2 linked regions of the Lonchura striata genome follow. The protein of the gene in region 1 purifies or fractionates together with the protein of each later gene. This does not show direct contact. Links are inferred from orthologs where the notes say so. Each region holds a gene or a part of one and is shown on either strand. Other genes may lie near its edges. The genes, in order: ATP2B4 and NPTN.

Region 1 (14,543 bases):
GGACGATCGATCCCACGATGGATGATCGATCCCACAATGGATGATCGATCCCGTCCCATGATGGACAATTGATCCCACAATGGATGATCAATTCCATCCCATCCCACAATGGATGATCGATCCCATCTCATGATGGACGATCAATCCCACAATGGATGATCGATCCCGTCCCATGATGGACGATCGATCCCACGATGGATGATCCATCCCATCCCATCCCATCCCACAATGGATGATCAATCCCACAATGGATGATGGATCCCGCGATGGACGATCAATCCCACAATGGATGATCGATCCCGTCCCATGATGGACAATTGATCCCACAATGGATGATCAATCCCATCCCATCCCACAATGGATGATCGATCCCACAATGGACGATCGATCCCACGATGGATGATCCATCCCATCCCATCCCATCCCACAATGGATGATCAATCCCACAATGGATGATGGATCCCACGATGGACGATCAATCCCACAATGGATGATCGATTCCATCCCATGATGGACAATTGATCCCACAATGGATGATCAATCCCACAATGGATGATCGATCCCATCCCATTCCATGATGGACAATCAATCCCACGATGGACAATCGATCCCACAATGGATGGTCGATCCCATCCCATGATGGACGATAGATCCCGCAATGGATGATCAATCCCACAATGGATGATCGATCCCATCCTATCCCATGATGGACAATCGATCCCGCGATGGACGATCGATCCCACAATGGATGATCGATCCCATCCCATGATGGACAACCAATCCCACAATGGACAATCAATCCCACAATGGATAATCGATCCCATCCCATGATGGACCATCGATCCCACAATGGATGATCGATCCCATCCCATGATTGATCCCATGATCAATCCCACGATGGACGATTGATCCCACGTCCCTTCCCTCGCCCTGAAGCTGCAGGATTTGGGCAGAGGGTTGCTGGTGTCACCGCTGTGTGTTCCCTCCCCAGCCCACACTTCTTGGTCCATATTTAGGTCCCCATGTAAGACTTGATGCCATGATCCAGAAATCCCAGGAGAACTCCACCAGGGTCCCCATGTCCCTTGTCACCAGCCCAGGCTGGTGGGACATGGGGACCCTGGTGGAGTTCTGCACCCTGGAGGGAGCAGGGCCAGCCCCAAAAGGGAATCCCAAAATCCCAAAATTCCCGGGACCTCGCTGTGCATCAGCTTCCCACGTTCCAATCTGAGACCCCTCCCAGAAGCTCACAAACGCAGGAGGACTCTGAACTCAGCTCTTACTCACAGAGAGTTCTCCCAGGATTTAAGGTGCTTAATTAGCGGTTTCAAAGAGTCACCAGCGGGCTGGGTGACACCCCAGCGGGTGTCATGCACTCCACAGGGCTCCAAGCTTCCCTCCTGTCCCTACCCAGCCTTACCTTGTGGCTTTTTTCCCTTTTCCTAACGATCCAGCAGAGGGGCAGGGTTTATAAGTCCATAGAAACTCTATTATCCCCGTGCATTAAAGCCAAAAGCAACTAATTAAAACATCAAAGTCACAGGGTTCATTAGCTCAGCCTCAGCGCTGGTAGGAGGTGACAGGGATTGTGGCTGTCACCCGACTGCTCCCAGCGATCCCTGCACCCCAAAACACATTCCCTGTCCCAGTGTCACTGGGAAAACCAGTGGCTTCCACTGGAAAACCGCTGGGCTGGGCAGGATCCCGTCACCTGCCTGTCCCTGTCCCCCAGCTGGTCACCTCTGCCTGCACCAGTGTGGAGAGGAGGGAGGTTGGGGACAGCTCTGCCACCTCTGCCATCAAAGCTCCTTCCCACAGGAGCATCTCCAGCCCCATCACCACCTATCGGATCCCTATTCCCCCCAGCACAACACAGGGGGACAGGGATGGGTTCAAATTCCCAGCTCTGCACACCAGAGCCCCTCCGGCGTGCCAGAACAGCCATTCCTTACTGGGAATGCTGCAGCATCCCTGGATCCAGGAGTTTCCAGCCAGCCACAGGAGACAGGGGACACCAGGGAAGTGGCACCGCCTGTGCTGCAGTGGCCACTTCCCACCTAAGGGCCTGCATCCATCAGCGTGGTCACACCGAGATCTGGTCACTTCCACTGCTATGGTCACCTCAGTGACCATTGGTCAGTTCCCACTGCCATGGTCACACTGAGCACTGGTCACTGCCATGGTCACACCAAGCACTGGTCACTTCCACTGCCATGGTCACCTCACAGTGACCACTGGTCAGCTCCCACTGTCATGGTCACACCGAGCACTGGTCACTTCCTACTGCCATGGTCACCTCCCACCGAGCAGTGGTCACTTCCACCACCATGGTCACTCCCACTGCCATGGTCACAGTGACCACCGGTCACTTCCACTGCCATGGTCACACCGAGCACTGGTCACTGCCATGGTCACACCGAGCACTGGTCACCTCCCACCTAAGGGCCTGCATCCCACTGTTGTGGTCACACTGACCATCGGTCACTTCCCAAAGGACCTGCACCCATTCCCACACCCACACTGACCATCGGTCACTTCCCAAAAGATCTGCATCCCATTTCCACGGCCACACTGACCATGGGTCACTTCCCAAAAGATCCGCACCCCATTTCCATGGCCACACTGACCATGGGTCACTTCCCAAAAGATCTGCACCCCATTTCCACGGCCACACTGACCATCGGTCACTTCCCAAAGGACCCGCACCCATTCCCACACCCACACTGACCATCGGTCACTTCCCAAAAGATCTGCATCCCATTTCCACGGCCACACTGACCATGGGTCACTTCCCAAAAGATTTGCACCCCATTTCCATGGCCACACTGACCATGGGTCAATTCCCAAAAGATCTGCACCCCATTTCCACGGCCACACTGACCATGGGTCACTTCCCAAAAGATCTGCACCCCATTTCCATGGCCACACTGACCATCGGTCACTTCCCAAAGGACCTGCACCCATTCCCACACCCACACTGACCATCGGTCACTTCCCAAAAGATCTGCATCCCATTTCCACACCCACACTGACCATCGGTCACTTCCCAGAGCCACACCGTGTCTCCCCGCCGGGTCTCGCTGTCCCTGCCCGGGCTCTCCCGGACCCAGCGGGATGCCCGGGCTCTCCCCGCAGGTTTTCCGGCTCCTTTCCCAGCAGGGCGCAGCCGTGCCCGGCGGGGAGGAGCCCTGGGCGAGGAGGAAGCCGGAGCTGCCAGCCCAGCCCGGCCCAGCCCTCGGCCGGGCCGTGCTCGGGGAGCAGCAGCAGCGAGCGGGTGGCGGCTGCGAGTCCCCCCCGGCACCGCAGAGATTTGGGTCCCCAAATTCCCCGCAGGCTCCAACCCTGCGGGAAAACTCCGCTCGTGGCCTAGCAGGGAGGAGAAACAGGAATAGAAAAAAAAAAAAAAAACTAGAAGAAAACACATAACCCGAGAGAGGAGCGGGGAACGCGCGGGGAACGCGCGGCCCCGGCGAGGGGCGGCGGGGAAGGAGCGGGCTCGCCTCGCAGGGCTTGGGGACAAGGGGAAACTCCAGGCTCAGCTCCACCCCGGAGCTTTCGACTGCTAAACAATAGTGGAGAGGAGCAGGCGTCCCTCCCTGCTGCTCTTACTCATCCTGCCCAAGGAGCCGTGCCACCCTTGGGCTGCCCCCGCCCTGCCCGGGGGCTCGGGCGCGGCGGCTCCCGGCTCCGGAGGCGCAAGGCTGGGGTGACAGCGGCAGATTCCCCCGGGAAGAGATGCGGACCCACGGCACGCGAGCGGCGAGCCGGCAGCGCAGGGAATTCCCTCCGTCATCATCGCCAGCGGAAAAAAAAAAAAAAATACAAAAAAAAAAAAAAAAAAAAGGAAGGAGAAAAGAAACCAACACCCAACAACAGAATGCGCCCTCTCAAACCTCTCTACCTGCAGCACTTCTCAGCGCTTTTCCAGCCGGGAAGGAGCCGGGGTAGGTAGGACGGGGAGCGGCAGCCACGGCCCCGCCGGCGGCCAGGGCGGGCCGGGGCCGGAGCCCGCGGGGAACGCGCGGTGCCGGGGCCGGAACGGGGAAGCGCTGCCTCCTCCCAGCTCCAGCCGCACCATCCCGGCACCGGCACCTTCCCCGTGCCGCGGCCATCCGCCAGCCCAGGCGATGCAGCCGGGCCTCGGGCACTCACAATTTGGCCTCCAAGCCCACCCAGCGCCCACCTTTGAGGAAGGGTCCTCCGCCGCTCCGATCCGAAGGGCACCTCCAGCCCCCCCGAGCCGCCAGCCTGGCCGCACGGAGGGGTCCGGGCGGTCACCCGAGGGGGCAGCCGGGGAGGGAAGCCCAGGGCCGGCGAGGGATCCCCGGGGCGCGGCGGGGTGGGGCTGGCGGAGCGCGGGGGCGTCAGCCTCGCTCGCTCATGATTGAATAATTTAGGTGCGTTTCAGTGCTCGGAAAAGCGAAAGATTGAGGGCAATGTCTGGAGGCAGGCAGGGCGCAGGCAGCGGTGCAGCCCCTGCCTTGCCCACGCAGCCCAAGGGGTTTGGGATGGGGGGCTCACCTCGGGGGTCCCCCGGCCCCAGGACGGCTCTGGGTGCCCCATGGCGAGCTCCGAGCACTCACCTCCACCCCGGCTCGCTGCCCTCGGCTCCTGCCCGTCCACCCACGTCCGGGGCTGCCAGTCCACGGCCACGGGCAGAAACTGGCTGCACTGGTTTGGGCTTCGCAATGCAAACCCCCACCCAAGCTCAGGTCTCCAGAGATAAGAGCACAATAACCTATTGTCCCTCCTCCCCTCCCAACATCTCCACTCGCCTCTGGCGAAGCGGGGAGGGACCACCCAGCTCCGCACAGCCCCCCCCGCCCCCGCCGCCGGCAGCCCACGGGGGACACGGACCCACCGAGCCAGGCCAGGGATGCTGGGAGGCTCCGGAGCCGGGCTGGGATGCAGCGAGAGCGCTGGGGACAGAGGCAGGAGGAGGCGGACGAGGCCAGAGCCTGGCCGAGCTTGCAATAGATTTCCTGATTTATTTTTTAATTTATTTTCCGCCTCCCCACTCCTGTTTTCTCTGCTGTGGCTCTGCCCAGCTGGATTGGTGCAGGCAGGAGGGAGACGTGCCCAGCCGTGGCGTGGGCAAACCCCCCCTCCCCTCCCACGCACCTCCCCACCGCATCCCACCCTCCCCACGCGCCCCCCACCCGAGTCACCCCACTCCAGGCAGGGAGCAGCCCCCTTTGCTGCCCCACGCGTGGGGGAAAAAAACCACCCCAAACCCACCCACGCAGCACCTTCCCCGCTCTGTCCTTGGGCTGCCGCAAGCCCCCCTCCCCTTCCCCCGCCTCTTCCTTCCTCCATCATCCTCATCCTCCTCCTCCCCGCAATGCCACAACCCGCTGCCTCCCAAAAAATCCAGCAACACGCGCGACCGGGAACCCCGCACCGTCCTCCCCCCCGCACACACACAGCCACCTCAAGGGCGGGCAACAAGTTGTAGGATCCGACCGGAGCATCCTCCCCACCCCAAAACCCGGGGGGCTGCCGGAGTTACCCCCCCCACGAGAAATTTGGGGGCTGCACTCCCCGCAGCCGCCCACGCCCCGGAGCGGCCGGACCGCGGTCACCCCACCACCCCACCCTTCTCCCACGTGGGATTGGGGTCTGGGGGGGGGTCCCACACCGACCCCCCCGTGATGTAGAACCCACGGCGAGCCCCCCCATCCCACCTGCTGCACCGGGACGGAGCGGGGCGGTGAAACCCCCGCTGCCAGCGCCCCACCGCCCCCACGGCGGGGGCGGCGATGCTCCCACCCCCGGCCCCGACACAGACCCCCGCTCCGCAGCCACCCCACGCCACTCCCGTGCGTCCCCCCGCCGTGTCCCCAACACCTCAAACCCCCCGCGGGACCCCCGTACCCCCAAGCTCTCGGGGTCGTGTCCCCCCCACCCCTTGCACTCACCGGCTCCGGTCCCACGGCGCCCGGCTGGCGGCGGAGCCCCCGCGACTGGCCATGGGCTGGAGGGGGAGCGGTCCCGGAGCTAACGGGAGAAAATGCTTGTCATGGCAACCCCCCGTGCCGTGCGGGGCCGTGCGGGGCCGGGCCGGCGAGGGAGGGGACGGCGGGCAGGGAGGGGGAGGGCTCGTCCCAGCCCGCCGGGGGAGGGGCTCCCTTAAGGTGGCTGCACGCCCCGACGGCCGCTTAAGGGGGACGGCGACAGGAACGGGGTGAAGGGACCAGCGAGGGGGGGACAGCGGCGTGGGGGACCCCGAACATGGCAGGAGCCCACGGGCAGAGCGGGGGGTGCACGGCTGGAAAGGGTGGGGGCACCCCCGGGTAATATCGGGGACCCCCAAGCACGGTGGGGACACGCTGGTCAGGGTGGCAGATGCACCCCCAGAAAGAGGGGAGACTCCCCCGGGCAATGTGGGGACACCCCCGGGTAATATCGGGGTCCCCAAGCAGGGTGGGGACACGCTGGACAGGGTGGCAGATGCACCCCCAGAAAGAGGGGAGACTCCCCCGGGCAATGTGGGGACCCCCCCGGGTAATATCGGGGTCCCCAAGCAGGGTGGGGACACCCCCAGGTAATGTGGGGACCCCCCGAGCAATGTGAGGACCCCAATGGGCAATGTGGGGACCCCCAGGTGCCACCCCAGGTACCCCCAAGCAGTGTGGGGACCTCCCCGGACAATGTGGGGACACCCCCGGGTAATATCGGGGTCCCCAAGCAGGGTGGGGACACCCCCAGGTAATACGGGGTTCCCCAGGCAGGGTGGGGACACGCTGGACAAGGCAGTGGGTGCACCCCCAAAAGGGTGGGGACACCACTGGGAAATTTGGGCACACTCCCTGGGCGATGTGGGGACACCCCTGGGAAGAGTTGGGGACACCCCGGGGCGATATGGGGGTCCCCAAGCAGGGTGGGGACACGCTGGGCAGGGAGGCAGATGCACCCCCGGGAAGAGTGGGGACACCCCTGGGCAATGTGGGGACCCCACCCTGAAAGCAGATTGGAGTGTGCACCCCCAAAACCTGTGGGGACCCCCCAGGGCAGTGTGGGCACCCCAAAAACCGCTGGCACCCTCATGCCCAGCCCCCTCCCCACTCCGGCCGTGGAGGTGGCAGAAGGAATTCTGTGACCTGGGACAAAATTGGGGTTTTTTGGGGGGTTTTAGCACTTTTGGGGTGGCTCTGACCCACCCTGTCCCCTCATAGGCAGCACAAATTTGGGGGTGCTGACACCTTGAGATCCAGCACGCCCAACCCCCCCACCCCAAATCCCACCCTCGCCCCTTTTCCTAAAGGAACCCGGATAAAATTCCCCATGGAAGGATTCCATGCAGGGCTTCGAGGGGGTTCCAAAAATCCCCTCCCAAATCCCAGTTTGGGCTCCAGCTGTTCCAGTTTAACCAGTGCAACACCCCTGCGGCCACAGCCCCTCATTAGCCCTCGTTAATTAGCCCCTCATTAGCTATCCCAAGAGGTTTGGGCCTGCACCTCGGGAATTCCACATTGCCAGCCCTGGGAATTCATTTCCACCCCATTTTCCAGCAGAATTCCTCCCTCAGCTCTCCGGGATGGACCTTCTCGCCCAGCCCAGCCGATCCAGGGGATTTTTTTGGAGCTGGGAATGTTTTTTTGGAGTCACCCGAGCGACATCAGAGCTGCCCGGGTTGGATTTCATTCCATCTCCGCATCCTTTGGAGCACGACTGTGAAAAATGCAGATTTTGTGATTGGCTTTTCGCAAATGGCACGAAGAATATTATGTGTGTAATGTTAGAAAGTGATGCTGTGCTAATTCTCTTCGGTAGTGTGTTAAATGTACTTTTAGGTTACAACTTAATGTTAAAATATAGACTATGTATGTGGGGGAAGTTGTTTTTTTATTTTTTTAGGAATGAGATACTCGCTTCAAGGAACACCAAAATCTTCTAAAAGAGAAGAATTTATGGCTTCTTATCAGAATAAGCTTAATTTCTTCAGGCCTTGCTCAGATCGAAGACGCCCAGGGATTAAAGGAAACAACTGACATACAACAGACAGAGTTTGTTTTAAATAAAATATATGCATAACCATGAAGGATATATGAATATGCAACAAGTGGATTGGTTTAAGGATGATTCTTTTGTTCACAAGTCATGCTTTTCATGACTTAAAGCACCCAAACATCCATAATTCTTTGCTTTGTATTGTCTTGTATTGTCCTAACTCTAAACTTTATTCCTCTAATTGTATTATTATTTTTATAACCATTTTATTATTATCGAACTTTTAAAATTTTAAAAAAAACAAGTGATTGGGCATTGTTCGCAACCACCTTTGGGAAGAGGAAAATGCCCTGGGTTTGGAATTCCTCCTCAATTGCTCCTTGGGAGTTTCCAGGGTTATTCCTACTGAAAATAAAACATATATATAAATTTATTTATTTATTTATTATGTATATATGTATATATGTATATATGTATATATGTATATATGTATATATGTATATATTTCTAGATTTATAGGTTTATAGATTTATAGCTTTATAGATAATAAAATATAAAATATTTCAGGGCTGGGCATTCTCATGACAAAGACTCAAAAACCAAACTCAGGCCCCTTTCACTCACTCCACGTTTGCCCGCCACACACAAAAAAATGGGAATAAACACAGGGATTTTTATTCCTCCACCAAAATCTGCCAGCCCTGAGCAGGCTGGTTCACAGAACAGCTTGGAAAAGAGGTGTTGGAGCAGCTGGCAGGCACGGCTTCCCATGCAGAGCTGCTATTGAGACATAATGGCCTTTTCCAACAGGTTCTGGGAGCTTGGAAGGAATCTCTGACCATCTGGATTTGGGCTCCTGGAAGGAAATCAGCCTTCCTGCCCCAGGGAAGCCGTGTGAGCAGGAATTTGCCGGGAATTTGCAGCATTGGGTTTGGGTTAAAAAGGGGAAAAACAGGTTTTCCACCCCAGGGTAGCGGCTGCGGGAGGGAGCAGCCAAAATCCCGAAATCCGTGTGGGGAAATGTGATTTTTGAGAGGCATGAACGGCCCCAGAGCTTCTTCCAGGCCACGTTTAAGGAGAAGAACATGGAGGAGAAGGAGCAGGAGCAGGAGTATCACCTCCAAGTCAGCACCGAGCTGTCCCCACGAGCTGCAGATGGGAAAAATTCCTTCACAGAATATTTTGGGACCCTCTGTGTTGGTCTCTGCTTCCCTCCTGCTCCACTCACCTGCTCCTCCCAGTGGCTTGGCCACCCCCGGGGAGGTGACAGAGGTGTCCCCACGCTGCTCGCACTGGGACAGGCTGGATTTGGGGTGGCACTGGGGACAGGATGGTATAGGCTGAAAGAAGAGACAGGCTGAATTTTGGGTGACAGGCTGGATTTGGGGTGACAGGCTGGATTTGGGGTAATGATGGGGACAGACAGATTTGGGGTGATGATGGTGACGGGCTGGTATAGGGTGACAGATGGGACAGGACGGATTTGGGGTGACAGCAGGGACAGGCTGGATTTGGGGTGAATTCCAGGGTGGATCCCTGGGTGGATCCCTGGGTGAATTCCCAGTTGGATTCCTGGGTGGATTCCTGGGTGTATTTCCAGATGGATTCCCAAGTGGATTCCCAAGTGGATTCCCAAGTGGATTCTTGTGTGGATTCCTGGGTGGATTCCCAAGTGAATTCCCAGATGAATTCCTGGGTGAATTCCCAGATGGATTCTTGGGTGGGTTTCTGGATGGATTCCCTGGTGGATTCTTGTGTGAATTCCTGGGTGGATTTCTGGATGGATTCCCTGGTGGATTCTTGTGTGAATTCCTGGGTGGATTTCTGGGTGGATTCCCAAGTGAATTCCTGGGTGGATTCCCAAGTGAATTCCCAGGTGAATCTCCAGTTGGATTCCTGGGTGGATTCCTGGGTGGATTCCTGGGTGGATTCCTGGGTGGATTCCTGGGTGGATTCCCAGGTGAATTCCTGGGTGGATTCCCAGGTGGATTCCTGGCTGGATTCCCGGGTGGATTCCCAGTGGATTTCTCTCATTCATTGCACCCAGCTCCTCTGGATCCCCACCACATCCCTGAGGCCTCTCCCTTCCCATTCCCTGGAAAATCAGCCAAACTCCCCCAGTGACCGGCAGCACCCAAATTCTCCACCAAGGACCTAAATCCCCATGGGAATCTCGGCTGTTTTCCTGATTTTTGCCACCTCTTTTCCTCCCCCAGCGCTTTTCTGGCTGCTCTGGAAGTGAAGCAGAGCAGTGGGCAGTGCCAGGCCTTGAGGCAGCACCAAGGTAAAATAAATAACCCCAAAATAGAAAACTTCTCCCCCAGGCTCTTCCCTAAAAAAAAAAAAAAAAACCCAAAATAATAATAATAAAAAAAAAATCCACCTTCCCTGATGATTTCCCTTTAAACCCAGCCTCTAATATTTGGATTAATTTGCTTTTAATGCCTCCCAGGCTGGGAACTTGTAGGTGGAGTTTTTGAGCCTGAAAAATGAATTAAATCAGCCGAGTTGTATCAGCCAAGTTACAAACCCATCAAAACCCGGGGCCAGATCCTGATCTCATCCCCGGAGGGGGCGGACGGGGTAAATCCAGCGCTGCTGGAATACGCGGGGAAGGATTTTGGGAAGGATTTTGGGCAGGATTTTGTCACGGAGCTCCGGATTGGATCCCCCCCCCACTCCCCGCGGGTTTCTCATGGAAACACTGAGTGACTTTTGGAGCACAAGGCAGAGTCAGGCGTCTGTAAAATCTCTCTCCATTCAAGGGCTAAATATAGGGAGAGCAGCGATGTGCTCGGGGATAAATAAACCCTGGAGAGGCTCTGCCGGGAATGCCGGGGGTCCTGGAGGCACCACGGAGCTGGAGATGCTCCCACAGCTGATGAAAAGCGGATTTAAGAGATTTTTTTCCTGCTTTTTCTCCCTCTTTTCCCTCTGCCTGCTCACCCCTGAGCTGCAGCACCCCGAGGTGCCTGGTCAAGGTTTGGATTCTTGCCTGGAATTTGGGATGCCCATGGAAAATGTCCCATGGCATCCACACCAATTCGCTGCTCACTCCAAGGTCTTTGGAGACCCCCCTCCCAAAAAAAAAAAAAATTCCCGCAGCCACGGAAGTGCTAATTACCCATCACTTCACTAATGAACCTTTCCTAGCCTATTCCTCCTCCCAATCACTCCAACAGCCCCATTAATTCCTAATTAAGCAGCTCCTTCATTAGGGAAAAGGGCCTTGACAGGAGAGGCCAGAGGAGGAATTTGGGGATTGGGAGGGATTTTTTGCTTTATGGCCGTAATTAGCAGATGAAATTATTTGCTCACCTACAGAATTGATCACCAGAGTGCCTGGGAGCCTTTCCCTTCCCCATCCCTGCGCGTTCCCGGTTGGAAGCACGGCGGGATTTAAATTTGTTTATTAAATGTGGGAATCCAGGGCATCCCTCTGCTTCCAGGGTAGCCAGAGGGATGCCCTGGATTCCCATCATTAAACCCCCAAAATTTGTGAATTTGAGGCTCAGGAGGAGCCTCTGGGCTGCTCCTTCCCAAGCATCCCTGCTGGGGATGAGGGGAATTCCGGGCTGCTGGATCCGTGCTTTTCCATGGATGATGAAATAGAATAAAATTTAACAAGGTAAAAAAATCTATTTAGATCTAAGTCAAGTATACTACACAGCTTACTAACACGAGTAAAATCTCCTGCTTAGTCTGTTAACTATACTGTGCTTGTAAAACTGTCCCAGCTAAAGTAAAAAAATGTGATTTCTAAGGTGAAGAGATAAGAGGAGCACCTTAAACTCTAAAACTAAGAAAATAAAAGTCTGCAAGAATAACCAAAGAGATTAAAGAGTTCTCTATACAAAGGGCCAACTATAAATTGCAACTCAAAATTAACAAAATAACTATGCATAAAATCATATAATCATATTATAATCATATGCATTATAATCATGACAATCATATACTGCATCATATAATGCATATAATCATATTATAAGATTCTATGTATATATAAATTAGTGCAGAATAATAAAAGAAATTTTTGTGCGTGCCCTTTGAAGGGGATCCCTGCGGGAGGGGAAATCCCAGCGTTAAAAAAATGAAAAGTTACCGTTCCCTACAAATCTTTATTAAAATTGTGACATTTTGATTTTTCATCTGGCGAGCTAGCCAGGAGATTTTCTGTCCTCGCAGGGGCAGAAAACTGTCGGAATCCGAGGTATTGATGATTCTGAGATTGTAGAAAATTTTGGGGGGTTTTTCTGCCCCGCTGCCAAAGCAGAAGCCATAATTGGTCTGTGCTGGTTTCCAGGTTGTTTATTCTGTTTATCTCTCACATGTTCTGCTGCCCTGCCCAGCTCTGTCCTGCAGGGCAGCGTGTGGGGCTCTGCCCTCAGTGGGATGTTACAAACATTAAATACCAGAAACTCCCTGGGCTGGATTTACAAGAACGTGCCAATATCTGTCACCTACGTTGGACAGTGTGTCCCCAGCCTGAACCAACAGAAAAATGCCAACACCACAATGAGACATGGAGGGCATGAAGAAGGAGAAAAAGGACAAGGCACACCCAATTTCCTCCAGCTTGTCCCCTTTGGACCCCTCATCTAGAATCCTAAAATTTTACTTTTGCACCCGTGCCACACTTAATTATTACTTATATCAAACACTCAGAGCTGGTAATTGATCCTGTGAGATTGAAAACTCTTTTCCATGGCCAGAGATCACAGCCAGTGTCTCTGGGGGCTCTGTCCAGGGGGGTTCCTGACCCCTGCCAGGGTCCCAGGTCAGCCAGAGGGAAGCTCTGCATTCCCACAGAAAACACCTGCAGGGAAAATCCCCACCGAGATCCCGAAATGAACATTTTTTTTTTTCCCCCTCCAGTTCCGACCTCGTTTCATTCCTGCCATCGAGGAGGAACCTCGTGCGTGGTGTTTGCAGCGCGGTAACAGCTCGGGGACCTTGGTGGGCCCCAGGAAAGTCCCCGCTGCTGGCGGTGACAGCGCGGTGGGTGGTGCTGAAAGCGAGGGGTGCCAAGTGACAGCTCGGGGACAGGGAGATGAAAGCTCTGCCCGTCACTCCCGAGCTGTCAGCCACGAGCTGGAGAGGCGGAGGAGCTCCCGAGCCCCACTTTGGGGCTATTTTGGGGTCGTCCTTCCCTCCAGGGATGCGGGGAGAAAGGGTTGGGAGAGCTGGAGATGCCCTCGGTGCCACCTGGGTCACGGACCGTGGAGGAGAAATGCGACAGCCAAAGAAGGGATGACCCCAACAATGCCACTTTTGTCACCTTCACTAAGTTGTGTGGTCGGGAACGGCTTTTCCAAAATCTCAAGGTGCTCCCAAAATGGGAAATCTGGAGGCTGGACCAGCGGTGAAAACCCCAAAGCCACACGGAGCCTCCGGACATTCCCGTCCTCCAGGATTCTCGGGATTCCTGCTTCCAGAAAGGTCCATTTCCCTCCTAACCCCACCTGCAGGTGCTGGGGGACAATAAGGGGACATCGCGGGTGTTGATGCCACAAGGCAAAGCTGTGGTGACACCCAAAAGGGGGTGAAATACCCAAAAAAAGGGGTGAAATACTGAAAAAAGGGTGAAATAGCCAAAATGAAGGGGTGAAATACACAAAAGAAGGGTGAAATGCCAAAAATGTGGTGAAATGCCCAAAATAAAGAGGTGAAAATACCCAAAATAAATGGTGAAATATCCAAAATAAAGAGATGAAATACCAAAAGAGGGGTGAAATACACAAAATAAAGGGGTGAAATACCAAAAGAGGGGTGAAATACCAAAAGAGGGGTGAAATACCAAAAAGGGGTGAAATACGCAAAATAAAGGGGTGAAATACCCAAAATAAAGGATGAAATATCCAAAATAATGAAATTAAATACCCAAAAGAGGGGTGAAACACCAAAAAATGGGGTGAAATACCAAAAAAGGGGTGAAATACACAAAAAACGGGTGAAATACCCAAAAGAAAGGGTGAGATATCCAAAATAAAGAGATTAAATACCCAGAAGAGGGGTGAAATACCAAAAGAGGGGTGAAATTCCAAAAAAGGGGTGAAATATCCAAAATAAAGGGTGAAATATCCAAAATAAAGAGATGAAATACCCAAAAGAGAGGTGAAATACCAAAAGAGGGGTGAAATACCAAAAAAGGGGTGAAATATCCAAAATAAAGGGGTGAAATACCCAAACAAAGGGATGAAATACCAAAAGAAGGGTGAAAATTGGTGGAAAAATCTTGGATGCCAAGGTTACCTCTTCCCAAAAGAGGGAATAGGGGAAACCAGACACGTCTCCAAGTGCATCCCCGGGAAAACAAACCAGGAACCTTTATTGGAATAAAAACCATCAATAATGCATTGCTAAGGAGCTGCAGATGAGTGCAATTAAAAACAACAACAACAAAAAAAATAAAAGCAGTGCATTCCCCAAGCAAAAAAACCAAAATTATTCCTCACAGCTTCCCCGAGATTTATGGAAATGAAGCAGTTCCTGGAGCTCGGCAGGGGAGAAAGGGAAAGAAAATTTTAAAAAAAGGCAGGGAAAAAAAAAAAAAAAAAGAAAAGAAAAAAGCCCCTAATGTAGGGATTTAT
Region 2 (14,429 bases), on another chromosome or scaffold:
GAGTTGGGAAGCGAGGCCCTGCCTGCTCTGCTGCATTTTCCTGCTGGAAGCAGAGAAATGCAAGTCTGTCCCTTGGTGCTGTGTGATCCATCCCTCAGCAGCAGCTGGGGCTGACTTAAGGAGGTGTCCCAGGCCAGGCTGGGCAGGCCTGCAGCGCCCTGGCCTAGAGGAAGGTGCCCCTGCCCACAGGTGAGTTTTAAGGTCCCTCCCAACCCAAACCATCCTGGGGAAATGTGAATCAGCTGCTTGCCAGCACTGAATTCCCTGGAAAGGCCCTGGGTGAACTCTGCAGTTCAGCAACCCTGAAGGGATCCACTGAAGGTAACACACAGGGATTTGCTGCTGCTTGAGGGCACAGAGTGATGCCTCAGCTTTGGCTTTTGTATTTTCACATTCTGTTCTGCCTTAGTGTGTTGGTCTGGGATTCATGTCAGGGGTTGGTGAGCTCTCTGCACAGAGCAGGGAGACAAAACAATTCCTGCTCTGGCTGGGACCAAGGACCAGTGATCCAAATCTCAGCCCCAAGAGCACAAACTGCATTCCTGATCCTGCCCTGATCCCTTGGAGAGCTGCAATCCCTGATCCTGGGGATCCCATGGAGAGCTGCAATCCCTGATCCCATGCAGAGCTGCAATCCCTGATCCTGCCCTGATCCCATGCAGAGCTGCAATCCCTGACCCCAAGCAGAGCTGCAATCCCTGATCCCATGCATAGCTGCAATCCCTGATCCTGCCCTGATCCCATGCAGAGCTGCAATCCCTGATTCTGGGGATCCCATGGAGAGCTGCAATCCCTGATCCCATGCAGAGCTGCAATCCCTGATCCTGCAATCCCTGATCCCATGCAGAGCTGCAATCCCTGACCCCATGCAGAGCTGCAAGCTTTGGCTGGAGAGAGAAAAACAAGCAGGATGGGATTCACAACCTAAAGCTGTAATTGCACAATGAACCCCAATATGCAAATGGAGCAGAACTCAGAGAAGTGAGACACCTCAGGACCAGTTTTCCCTTTTTGGGACCATTTTGGTTCACCTTGGCTGCAGCCCTGGCTGGGCTCTGGTGCTGCCCAAGGTGGATTCACTGAGGAGATCCTTTTAATAAATCCCTGCTTCATTCCTGACCTCAGTCTGGTCTCTGCTCTAGCTCAGCCTTCCCAAGGCATCACTGGCTCAGTCCTGAGCGTGCTGGGAGGAAATTTGGGAATGATCCTCCTGGCCAGACCAGACCAAAACCAAGCTGCCAACCTTTATTTTAGGGATTTTCTAGTGCTGTGACCATCCAGCAGCTCCCACCACCTGCAGGGATTTCACCAGCCAGCAGACAGAGCAGCTGCCCTCTGCTTCGGAGCTGCTTTCAAACCCCTCCAGCACCGTTTAATTCCCCCCAGGCAGCTCCAAAGGACAGCGATTCAAACCCCATTTGCAGCAGCTTTTCCCAACAAAATCACCCCCGGAGGGCTGAGCTGCTGCACACTCCGGTTTAAAAATGCTCCTCCGAGCATCTGTTTTTTTGCAAACTCCCGCTGTCCGCCCTCACGGAATTCTTGCAGGCTGCACTGCCAAAAAAAAAACTTCCCTGGGCACTTCAATCCATCCCTCAGCATTCCCAAAATGTTCCCGGCCAGTTCTACCAAGCAATTCCGTGTGCTCCCAGCTGAGGTTTTGGGGTAATTATATTTTTTCCAGGTCGTGATATTCCCCCTTCCTCTCGTTTTCCTATTCTAGCAACACAAATGCTGTAACTTCCTTATTTTTTTTTTTTATAAATAAAGTGTTATTTTAGGTTTCCAAACCAGTGGAAGATCCTTGTGAGTACCCCCAAAATGTGAGGAGCTACACCTGTCACTGCTGTGGATTTTAAAACGTGGAATGCAAAACTATAGGAATTTGAGCAAAAAAACCTTTTTTTTCTTATTTATTCAAACCAGAACAGGACATTTTGATCTATTTTCCTCTAGAAAAATGTCTCACAGTGCACATCTCCAACACACAAAAAAATAAAAACCACCCAAAAAAAACCCAAACAAACACCAAAAAAAAAAAAAAAAACTGCAAGCAGCACCAGGAACCAAACAAATATTTAACCTCAAGTGAGAATAAATGACCGTGAAAATAAAATCACAGGTAATTATTATTATTTGAATGATTGAATATTGGATTTGATGGAGCTTTGTCATGTTTTAACAGCCAAGCTCCCTCCTCCAGCTTTACACAAGTCAGGATTTGTATTTTGGAATTAACTGGGAAAAAGTCACTATTTATTCCCAAATATTCCTGTTTTGAGGAGTTTGAACACAAAAAGCCCATGCCCAAGCATCCAAAGGATCAGACTCTGAAATCCCACAGCAGCCAGCCCAATTCCAGCCTCCAGAAAGAAGAATTCTGCTGGGAAACTTTTAAAAAATGGAAAAAAGGGTTTAGGGTGAGCAGAGCCAAGCTGTGAGGGCTCCCTGTGCTTTGCTGCACCTCCTGCTTTAACCAAAACCAAACTTTAGAGGAACGTGGCCACAGGAATTGTCCTGCTTTAGAGAAAAATCCCCCCGAAAATAAAATCTCACTACTGGAGGCAAGTGCAGCACGTGTGTGAATTTCGGGAGCTGCAATAACTGCAATGAAAATCAAAAAATGAAATAAAATCCATGATCTAGAGGGTGACAAAGCCACCTTGGGCAGGGCTGGGGACATAAAGCAGGACCTGGGAGAGCAGAGGAGCAGGGGAGATCCTGCCTGGAGGAGGAGGAGGAGCAGAAGAGAGCTCTGAGCGTTCTCCTCGCTGCTCAGCCCACACTCAGCCTCCAAAAATGCTCACATTTATCTGGGCACCAGGAAAAGGCACAGCAGAGCTCAGGTGCTGAGGCTCAGCAGGCACAAACAAGGATAAAAGCAAAGTTTTTCACTGGTTCCTTCAAGAAGAAATTCATTTTTCAGAATTCAGGGTGAGCTTAGATGATTTTCCTCATTTATTGCTGGTTTCTGCCAACAGAAAATCCATATTCTGGTTTTAGCCAGTTAGTTCCTTCTCCATCCATGCAGAGGATGAACTAAATAAGAACCACCTGAATTAATTTGGTTTTATTTGCCCTCATGCCCAGCTCAGAACAACCCAAGCAATTTTATGGTGAAGAATTCTCTGTGCTTTAGCTTGCTCCCACTCCAACCCTTGTGTTGCTGTGCTAAAAAACCACTGCAGATTTCCCAGATTGGAGCAGCCCCAGCAGCAATTTTAGACAATAAAATAACCTTTAAATCCACTCTGGGGTGGAATTATCACTGCACTGAAGCCTTTGGTTTTCCAGCTGCTTGTTTGGAAATCAAGATATTTCAAAGGTGAAACAATGATGGAAAAGTCATGTTTTCCTCTCCTCCTGCTTGGAAGCATTAAAGGGATTTTCCAACAGCTGCCCTGAGAAAGTGCAGGTTAAACACAGATATTCCTGACTGGCTTTTTCCAGCTCTTCCTCATCCTTCCCCATCTCTCCCCTGTGCCATCAGAACTCTGCTCTGGATGCAAGCCCTGAGCAGAAACTGAGCATTTTCCCAGCAGAATATGCAGGAAAAGTTCAACTCCTGCCACATTTCCCTAAGATCTCAAGGTGTTTATGCAAAGCTTTCAAAATAAAGCTGCCAGAAAAATAAAACCCTCAAAATAAAATCCTTCCAAACTAAAAACTTTCAAAGCAAAACCCTCCTCCCGGTTTTAGCAAGCTTAAATCCATAGGTGAGCCTGACTCCAAATGTTCCGGATTGGATTAAGTTGGAAAAATTACTGGGAATTCAACAGATCTGCTGTCAGAGGTGGGGAAAAAAGCTTTTTTTTTTTTTTTTCCCCGCAAACTCTCAGCATTGCAGCGGGGATTTTCTGCTGCAGGTGAGCTCCAACAGCTCCGTGGCCATTCCTCCACCACCCTGCCTTGGACTTTTCACCTTCCATCACTCTGCTGGTTGCACATCAATAAAAGATAAGGAATTGCTGCCCTCTGGGATCCTCCCCTGCCCCTCACAGCACACACCCAGAGGTGAGAAGCGTTTTCAAAGGAGATCTGAAGGAACAGCCACAATTCAGGAAACGCTGGACCTGTTCTCCACCCAAAGAGGAATTGTTCTGTTGCAGGAAGCTCCCCACAGGTCATTATTTGCTGAAAAAAACCCAGCTCCTCTGCAGCAGGGCCTTTTTACATTAAAACTGGGGCAGCAATAAACCTTAAGTCACAAAGACCTCAACCTTGCACCTGGCTTGGGCTGCTCCAACCCTTCCCAAGCAGATTTTCACTCACCTGTGTGAGCTCCCAGAGCAATACAGAAACTCTCCCTCACCACTTGATTAAAAATAACAATTATTCAGCTTCCAGGACACAGCAGTGCGCTGCAATCCCCCCTCACGCCAAGATCCTTTGCCCCTTTGCAGCTCTCCCCAAAATTCACTTTATCGCTGGCCTCCAGACCCCTAAGTGCTGCCAAACAAATGTTTGCAGTGTCCCGCAGCCACTCGGGATTGTCATCCCAGCTGCCGGCACTTGACACCTTCCTTTCCCGGAACACGCGACCCATTTCCATTTAACTCCTTCCCTCCCCAGGCTGGAATTTTTCTGGGAACTGAGCGGTGCTACAGAACCAAATTTAATCCACAAATCCATCCCCCTTCCCGCATCCCTGAATCCCACACGGCTCCAGGGTTTGCCCAGACTGCCTCACTCTGCACAGCCTCCAGGTTTCACTCCCAGGGCCAAACTCGGGTTAACAGAGACACGAGGCTCGCTGCTGGCTTCAAAATCCGCACGTGCTCAGGGAATAACTCTCACCTGCGATCTTTAGGACACTATTTTTCCCATCTAGATATCACTGAAAAACACCCTGAGAGGCTCAGTGCTGGCCAAGTGGAAGATGTCCCTGTCCCTGCCAGGTGGGATGGGCTCTAAGGTCCCTTCCAGCCCAAACCAGGCTGGGACATTCCAGCTCCGAGGATTCCAGGCTTCCCCCGGCGCAAAGAGCCAAGGACCTCACCAGCCGGAAAACTCTAGAGCTGAATATTATCAGCAGAGCAGAAAGGAAGGCGAGAGAAAGGAGGACCAAATGGTGAAACTAGCGTGGAATTGGCGTGTGAGAGAGGCAGCCCTTCCTCCTGGGCAGGTTTTCCCAGCGGCTCCTCCTGCCAGCCCAGCTCCCTGCCGGCTCCCCAGGCCCGAGCAGCGCTGACCATGATGCTGCAGTGGGAGCAGCCCCATCCCCTTGGAGCACCTCCATCCCCCCGGAAGCACCTCCATCTCCCCGGGAGCACCTCCATCCCCCCGGAGCACCTCCATCCCCCCGGGAGCAGCACCTCCATCCCACCGGGAGCACCTCCATCTCCCCGGGAGCACCTCCATCCCCCCGGGAGCACCTCCATCCCCCCGGAAGCACCTCCATCTCCCCGGGAGCACCTCCATCCCCCCGGGAGCACCTCCATCCCCCCGGGAGCAGCACCTCCATCCCCCCGGGAGCACCTCCATCCCCCCGGGAGCACCTCCATCCCCCCCGGAGCACCTCCATCCCCCCGGGAGCACCTCCATCCCCCCGGGAGCAGCAGCTCCATCTCCCCGGGAGCAGCAGCTCCATCTCCCCGGGAGCAGCACCTCCATCTCCCCGGGAGCAGCACCTCCATCCCCCCGGGAGCAGCACCTCCATCCCCCCGGGAGCAGCACCTCCATCCCCCCGGGAGCACCTCCATCCCCCCGGGAGCAGCACCTCCATCTCCCCGGGAGCAGCACCTCCATCTCCCCGGGAGCAGCACCTCCATCCCCCCGGGAGCAGCACCTCCATCCCCCCGGGAGCAGCACCTCCATCCCCCCGGGAGCAGCACCTCCATCCCCCCGGGAGCACCTCCATCTCCCCGGGAGCACCTCCATCTCCCCGGGAGCAGCTCCATCCCCCCGGGAGCACCTCCATCCCCCCGGGAGCAGCACCTCCATCTCCCCGGGAGCAGCACCTCCATCCCCCCGGGAGCACCTCCATCCCCCCGGGAGCAGCACCTCCATCTCCCCGGGACCACCTCCATCCCCCCGGAGCACCTCCATCCACCCGGGAGCACCTCCATCCCCCCGGGAGCAGCACCTCCATCTCCCCGGGAGCAGCTCCATCCCCCCCGGGAGCACCTCCATCCCCCCGGGAGCAGCACCTCCATCCCACCGGGAGCACCTCCATCTCCCCGGGAGCACCTCCATCCCCTCCGGAGCACCTCCATCTCCCCGGGAGCACCTCCATCTCCCCGGAGCACCTCCATCTCCCCGGGAGCACCTCCATCTCCCCGGGAGCACCTCCATCTCCCCGGGAGCAGCAGCTCCATCCCCCCGGGACCACCTCCACCTCCCGAGAGTAGCTCCATCCCCGGGAGCACAGAGGCATTTTCCCCGGCGCTGCGGGATTTCCCTGGAGCAGGAGGCTCGGCTGGAGCAGCCTCTTGGCCCCGCTCCGCTCTGCCACTAATTGTCATGCACTTGGCTGCGAACTCGCCGGGGAGGAGGCAGCCGCGCTGGATTTAGCTCACGCTAGCCTACAAGGAACGGAGAAGGCTCGGGGTGTGGTGGGTTGGTTGTTTCTTTTTTTTTTTTTTCTTTTTTCTTTCCCCTTAATTCCTTCTTTTACTCTCCTATCAGAAGGACCTCTCCAGTTGCTAAGGAACTACGGGCTTTATTGCATTATAAATGATTTAAGGCGGCCCGGCAGATGCGGGTTCAGTAGGCGGGAGGAGATGAGGAGATGTTCCATTTTACCGGCGGCACGAGGCGCCCCAGGAGGAACCGGGGGGGGGGCCCGAGCCTGTCCCCCCCACACTTTTCTCCTCCTTCCCCCTTCCCCTGAGGGACCCCAAATCTCCAGCGATTCCCCCCAAACCCGGGGTCGCCCCCCACCCGCGGGGCTGCCCACAGCACACCCGCCGCCATAGCAACGCGGCCCCCCCCGCCGCCGCCGCCGCCCTCGCTCACCGTTCTGCGCCGCGGCCGGGCCCGGCAGCAGCGCGGCCGTCGCCAGCAGCAGCGAGAAGGCGGCGGGGAGCGGCCCGGAGCGCGGCATCTTCCCGAGGCAGGGGCAGGAGGAGGGAGGCGAGGCGCTGAGGCGGCGGCGGCTCCGTCCGTCCTTCTCCGCCGACCTCCTACCGCAGCGCCGCCGCTCTCGCGAGACCGCCGGGGCGGGGGGCGGCACCGCCGGGGTGCCGGCGCCCGCCCCTCGCCGCCATGTTGGCCCCGTTCGGCCCGGCCCGTGCCGCGGCTTCTCTGCTGCTTGCCGAGCTTCCGAGCTGGCGGCGCGGCAGGGGCGCCCGGGCGGCGGGGAGTTGCCACTTCTCCCCTTCTGCCGTGCCCTCAGGGGCGCCATGGCGGAGGCTGCCTGAGGCAGCTTTCCTTGAGCGCAATGGCGGAGCCCGCCTGAGGGAACCGTCCCTTCAGATTTACCATGGAGGAGCCCGCCTGAGGGAACCGTCCCTTCAGGGTCTCCATGGCAGAGCCCGCCTGAGGGAACCGTCCCTTCAGGGTCTCCATGGCGGAGCCCGCCTGAGGGAACCGTCCCTTCAGATTTACCATGGCGGAGCCCGCTTGAGGGAACCGTCCCTTCAGATTTACCATGGAGGAGCCCGCCTGAATGAACCGTCCCTTCAGGGTCTCCATGGCAGAGCCCGCCTGAAGGAAACGTCCCTTCAGATTTACCATGGCGGAGCCCGCCTGAATGAACCGTCCCTTCAGGGTCTCCATGGCGGAGCCCGCCTGAGGGAACCGTCCCCTCAGGGCAGCATGGTGCAGCCCCTGCTCTGGACACCATGGCAGAGCCCGCCTGAGGGATCCATCCCCTCAGACACCATGGCAGAGCCCGCCTGAGGGATCCATCCCCTCAGACACCATGGCAGAGCCCGCCTGAGGGATCCATCCCCTCAGAGCTGCCATGGCAGAGCCCGCCTGAGGGATCCATCCCCTCAGACACCATGGCAGAGCCCGCCTGAGGGATCCATCCCCTCAGAGCTGCCATGGCAGAGCCCGCCTGAGGGATCCATCCCCTCAGACACCATGGCAGAGCCCGCCTGAGGGATCCATCCCCTCAGGGATGCCATGGCAGAGCCCGCCTGAGGGATCCATCCCCTCAGACATGCCATGGCAGAGCCCGCCTGAGGGATCCATCCCCTCAGGGACGCCATGGCAGAACCCGCCTGAGGGATCCATCCCCTCAGGGACGCCATGGCAGAGCCCGCCTGAGGGATCCATCATCCCCTCAGACACCATGGCAGAGCCCGCCTGAGGGATCCATCATCCCCTCAGACACCATGGCAGAGCTTGCCTGAGGGATCCATCCCCTCAGAGCCGCCATGGCAGAGCCCGCCTGAGGGATCCATCATCCCCTCAGACACCATGGCAGAGCCCGCCTGAGGGATCCATCCCCTCAGAGCCGCCATGGCAGAGCCCGCCTGAGGGATCCATCATCCCCTCAGACACCATGGCAGAGCCCGCCTGAGGGATCCATCCCCTCAGAGCCGCCATGGCAGAGCCCGCCTGAGGGATCCATCCCCTCAGGGATGCCATGGCAGAGCCGGCCTGAGGGATCCATCATCCCCTCAGACACCATGGCAGAGCCGGCCTGAGGGATCCATCCCCTCAGGGATGCCATGGCAGAGCCCGCCTGAGGGATCCATCCCCTCAGACACCATGGCAGAGCCCGCCTGAGGGATCCATCCCCTCAGAGCTGCCATGGCAGAGCCCGCCTGAAGGATCCATCCCCTCAGAGCTGCCATGGCAGAGCCCTCCTGAGGGATCCATCCCCTCAGGGACGCCATGGCAGAGCTTGCCTGAGGGATCCATCCCCTCAGAGCCGCCATGGCAGAGCCCGCCTGAAGGATCCATCCCCTCAGGGACGCCATGGCAGAGCTTGCCTGAGGGATCCATCCCCTCAGGGATGCCATGGCAGAGCCCGCCTGAGGGATCCATCCCCTCAGACACCATGGCAGAGCCCTCCTGAGGGATCCATCCCGTCAGAGCTGCCATGGTGGAACCCCTCTGGCTGGGATATGCAAAGCACCACACTCCTCCTCACTTCTGTTCTTCATGGGTTTAAAACACTGGTGAGTACAAGGTAAGAGCTGGTATTTGGCTCTGTTCATTCTCACTCAGGAGTTTCTGTGCCGTTCTGCAAGGGTCACAGTGTGTCAGAGGAACCCAATTCCACCCCAAATTGCTCAGCTTAAGGTCCACGCACCCACAAAACACCGATATAATTTTAAACACCATTCCATCCATCACTTCTATGCTTCCATACAAAAGATTTTTCAAGGGATGTGTCATTTTTGCACGAGTAGGAAACAAACGCTGCGTGAAGCAAAGGTGTAATTCCATGTTAGCCGTGGAGTTGTGGGCAAAGAGCACAAAATCTCACTCCTGGATGACTGGACAAGCCAGGCACGCTGGAAATCAGCTGTTGGTGAGCTCTGGGTGGCTTTTCTCTATTTTTCTGTCATAAATCACAGATGCCAGGTCAGATTTGCTGCTTGCTTTTGCTTTGTTCTGTGCCCTTAAGCCCAGCTGATGGTGGGGAGATATGAGGCTTGTAGGAGATCGTGGGACAGACCAGCAGAGAAGGAGACTGGGGGAAAAACCAGCAGAAAATCCTCAGGATCAGATTTTCAGCTTTCTGCAGAGCCCTGTGTCACCAGCATGCCCAGAGTGGGGTGGGCTGGGAAATTATGGGTGGTGACAGCCCAAACTGTCCTGGTTTCTTGACTTTGTCTCCCTCCTCCTTCACCCTGCCCAGGTCTGTCTCAGCTGCCCATCAGCAAACACACTTCTCATGCTTTTATCGCTGCTGTGACTCACTGAAAGCAAGGACCAGGCACACTTTTCACATGAAAACTCTGCTGAAATCCCTGCCTGAGCGCTTCAGGACTTGGCTGAGGGCGGCAGGGGCGAGGTCACACGTGAGGAGCAGCAGTTTTTTGGTGCTCCACGTCATCCCGGCTCCCCCTGGCTCCCCAGGGATGCCAGCTTCCATGTGCTCAGAGATTCCACTGCGCTGGAGAATTTCCACGGTGCGTTTCCATGACTCACTGTTGGTGCCAGCTGATTCATCTGTGTGACACTACCCTGCTTTTTCTCACCGTGGCTCTTTTGTTCCCCTCTGTGTGGAACAACCCTGAGAGCCAGAAATGCAGTTTTATCCAGCACTGCCCCTCGTGCTGCTCTTTGCCTGTGGGAATCCAGAGCATCCCTCTGGCTGCCCTGCCTGCCCTGGGACCGTGGCAGGGGTCAGGAACCCCCCTGGACAGAGCCCCCAGAGACACTGGCTGTGATCTCTGGCCATGGAAAAGAGTTTTCAATCTTACAGCATGAATTACAAGCTCTGAGTGTTTGATAGAAGGAATAATTAAGTGTGGCACGGGTGCAAAAGTAGAATTTTAGGATTCTAGATGAGGGGTCCAAAGGGGACAAGATGGAGGAAATTTGGTGTGCCTTGTCCTTTTTCTCCTTCTTCATGCCCTCCATGTCTCACTGTGGTGTTGGCATTTTTCTGTTGGTTCAGGCTGGGGACACACTGTCCAACGTAGGTGACAGATATTGGCACGTTATTGTAAATGCAGCCCAGGGAGTTTCTGGTATTTAATGTTTGTAACATCCCACTGAGGGCAGAGCCCCACACGCTGCCCTGCAGGACAGAGCTGGGCAGGGCAGCAGAACATGTGAGAGATCAACAGAATAAACAACCTGGAAACCAGCACAGACCAATTATGGCTTCTGCTTTGGCAGCGGGGCTGACAGACAGAGACTTTTTGCAATCTCAGAATCATCAATACCTCAGATTCCAACATTTGCCCGCCGTTTTCCCAGGATTTCGCTGTAACTCTGCTCCTTGCAGACTCCCACTCGCTATTAGGCCTCACCTCCAGTGCTGTTTTCCAAGTTTGGAAGGAGTGAGCAGCGCTGGGAGCAGGCTCTGGAACTGCTCAGCAATCCTTGCTCCGTAACCATGGCAGCTCAGGGTGACTCACGCTGCCACAGGCCCCAGCCCAACTTAGCAGGAGGAATTTTTTCCCCTCCTCTCTCACCAGCTCAGAGTTTCTCTCCGCAGTTGCATAACTCAGCTGTCACTTGTGTTCCTCTTGTGAAAAACGCCAGTCACTTGGTTTTTAAAATTTTCAAAGTTTAATAGTAATAAAATGGTTATAAAAATAATAATACAATTCGAGTAATAAAGCTCTCGGACACTGAGTCACAAAAAGCATCCCTTGTGAGCAAAGGAATCACCCCTGAAACAATACACTTGTTGCATATTCATATATCCTTCATGATTATGCATACATTTTATTTAAAACAAGAAACTCTGCTGTATGTCAGCTGTTTCATTTAATCCCCTGGCGTGTCTTGAGTCTGAGCAAGGCCTGAAGAAATTAGTTTCTTCTGATAAGAAGTCATAAATTCCTCTCCTTTGGAAGATTTAGGTGTTCCTCGAAGCGAGTATCTCATTCCTAAAAAAAAAACTTCCCCCACATACACAGTCCCTACTTTAACATTATGTTGGAACCTGAAACTATATTTAACACACTACTTAAGAGAATTAATACAGCATAACTTTCTAACATGACACATATAATACTCATTGTAATATTTGCGAAAAGCCAATCATAAAATATGTATTTTTCACACTCTGCTTCTGCCCTGGGGACAAGCCCTGCTGGCAGCTGGAGCATCCCTGGAAGGTTTCTCCGCTGGAGAACGAAGCTGATCCATGGATTTGTGATCATCCAGCACAAGAAACCAGAGCAGGAGGTCCCCATGGCCAGGAGATGTCCTCATGGGTCTGATCCCAAGTCTTCTGGAGCACAGATCCCTAAAATTTATAACAAAGCACTCACTCAGGTATCCAGCCATATCAACGGTGGCCAAAAAACCCTCTTCTTGTTCCGTGGATGAGGAATCCTCTTACACCTGGAGTTCTGCAGGAAAAGGGGATTGTCCAGCCTTAGATCCAGCACGGCGCCTCAGTGGTGAAGAAAACCCTGGGATTCCAGCAGATGGAGTCTGAGCAGGGTGATGTGTTTGCCTGGTGATTCCTGGCCTCAGGAATGCCAGGGTAAACTCAGGTATGGCAAAGTTTCCCAATCCCTTGCCTTTTCTCTTCAATCAAGACCCGTATTTTCACCTGGAGGGGGTCTCAGTTTTGATTATTCTCTGCTTTTTCCTTCAGAATGAGAAAGACAGAAAATCTTGAAAGCGAGGTAAGTAAAGAGGAAGCAAAAAACACCCTGTAGTCAGCAGGAAATTCAGGAGAGTTTCAGTTCTCAGAGAGCAGCACAGAGGCATCCTCCTTATTTTGTGGGGGAATTTGGAGCTTGTCTTCTTGCAGCTGCGAGCGTTTGAGAGATCCCTGTTATTTTGATGTGTTTAGTGATGTGTTTTGGCACTTGAAAGCTTTCACAGGATGGAAAGGGTTTCATGGATCATCCCATTCCACCCCCTGCCATGGGCAGGGCTGCTCCAAGCCCCGTTAAGCCTGGCCTGGGACACTTCCAGGGATCCAGGAGCAGCCACAGCTGCTTGGGAATTCTGTCCCCCACCATCACAGGGAAGAATTTCTCTGCTCTCCTCACATGGACTCACCTTCTTTTGAATGTGTTCAGGGCCAGGGCAGAGCAGGAAACAGAGTCCAGCACAAACCCCCTCTTTTCCAGCTGCTCTCAGGGCTGAGAAACCCTGGATAACATCAGATAATGCTCCCACGGGGCCGCTTGCCAGGAAAACAGCGATCCCAAAAGGTACCTGCGACCTGATTCGTGGCTATTCATCTCCCCAGAGGCACCGTGGCAGCCGGAGAACGACATGAACCTCGTGAGATAACATCGGGGTGAGGCTCCGCGGAGGCCTCCTTCACACCCTGCTGCACAGGTGAGCCCTTCAGTTCTCCTCCTAAACAGCCAGGGAAAAATGAAACGGAACAAAACCCCCGTGCTCTGAGAAATGAGAGAAGGGAGAGCTTGTAAAATCACACAGGGACGTGCTCTGAGGGAAAGGAGTCAAAGGCAAAGCTGCTAAAAAAACCCCAAATTCCCCCCCCCCCCCCCCCCGAAAAAAAAAACCACACACACAAAAAAAACCCCAACAACATTAAAGATCTCAAGGTAGTAATAAAAAACCAACCAAACAAAAAACCCCAAAAAACACAAACAAACAAAACCAAAACCATCTAGATGTCCAGAAAGCTGAGTTGCCACTTCCCAGTCCCGCGGGGAGCGGCAGCTGGGTTGGGTTCTCCCCCTCCTGCCACGCTCCCAGAAATGGCTTTCCGTGCAAAACGAGCCGAGGGTGATTTGGGGCAGCCTGGTTTGGAACGCACGCACGGAGTCAGCAATCTCAGCAGGGCCGACATCAGCTGTTACCACAGACAGCTGGAGTTCGCCTGACCTTATTTTCTGCAGGGAAGGAGCAAGAGGGACACAAATCAAACTGCTTTCCCTCCTCCCTCCTCTCTGACCCAGCCCGAAATTATTTGTCTCTATTGAAGGCAAATTCTTCACACTGTAACGTTTTTCTCCACCCAATTTTTAGGGAATGGAGTTCAATAACTCAGTCATTCCCTGACCTCATTACCCTGAGGGAAGGCATAATTTTTGTTGGGAGCAGCTCCTCCCAGCCACGGGCGGCTTTGCTACACCCCAGCTTGTCCCTGAATGCCAGTGAGGATCTCCGGGAAGGCACAGCGGGGTAAACTTGGAACATCTGGAGGAATCTTCAGGATGTGGCTGATCCGGCAGGTGGCACCCCTGGATTAGCACAGGGCTGGCTCCAGCCAGGCTGGGCACTGCCTGCAGCTGGGCTCCTCCCCAAAACCAGCAGGGATTTGGGCTCTTGTGGTGGCTGCAGGGACAGCCCCGTGTCCTGCGGGGACACTCGGGCTGCTCCCGTGGCATCTTAGTGGCCTGGGGTGTGGCTTGGGGCACGGGGTGTCCTTGTGGGGCAGCAAGGAGGAAAAAGGAGAAAGGAAAAAGGTAAAAGGAAAAAGGAAAGGAACAATGCTGTGGCTGGCAAGAAAGGAGAGCAGCCAGAATTCCCCACATGCTGCACAAGATAGGCTGGAAATACCAATCCTCCATAGCTCAAGATCAATCCCAGCAGGGGCACCTGGGGCTGGACAGAGCCAGGAGGTCCCTGGGCACCTCCAGGGGCACAAACCAGACCTGAGCTCCTGGGAAATCAATGCAGGCCAGGACTCAGATCCCCAGGGCCCAGAGGTGCAGGGACAGCTGGGGCTAAACTAGAGACCAGCAGGAGCCCAGAACAAGCCAGGAGCAGCACTGGGCTGAGCTTACAAGGGTTCCCACACCCGTGGGTGGGAGTGCCACCCCAGGTGGGCTGCCCAGGGCTTCAGTGGCCCAGGAGTTGTCACTGGGCACCAGTTTGCTCAGGAGGCAGCAGGGCTGGGGCCTCCCTGT

Evidence for each region.
Region 2: the proteins of ATP2B4 (region 1) and NPTN purify together in Homo sapiens (co-immunoprecipitation; 3 studies listed by BioGRID and IntAct, with this or other methods). This does not show direct contact. The link is inferred for Lonchura striata from reciprocal best matches to the Homo sapiens genes ATP2B4 and NPTN.

What each region holds. Positions count from the first base shown.
Region 1 is NC_134632.1:2,834,445-2,848,987, forward strand, and holds the start of ATP2B4 (plasma membrane calcium-transporting ATPase 4), read right to left. Parts: upstream 6,068-14,543; 5' UTR 5,919-6,067; intron 1-5,918. UniProt on the Homo sapiens protein: Calcium/calmodulin-regulated and magnesium-dependent enzyme that catalyzes the hydrolysis of ATP coupled with the transport of calcium out of the cell. By regulating sperm cell calcium homeostasis, may play a role in sperm motility.
Region 2 is NC_134613.1:6,369,516-6,383,944, reverse strand, and holds the start of NPTN (neuroplastin), read right to left. Parts: upstream 7,153-14,429; 5' UTR 7,046-7,152; coding exon 6,958-7,045; intron 1-6,957. UniProt on the Homo sapiens protein: Probable homophilic and heterophilic cell adhesion molecule involved in long term potentiation at hippocampal excitatory synapses through activation of p38MAPK. May also regulate neurite outgrowth by activating the FGFR1 signaling pathway.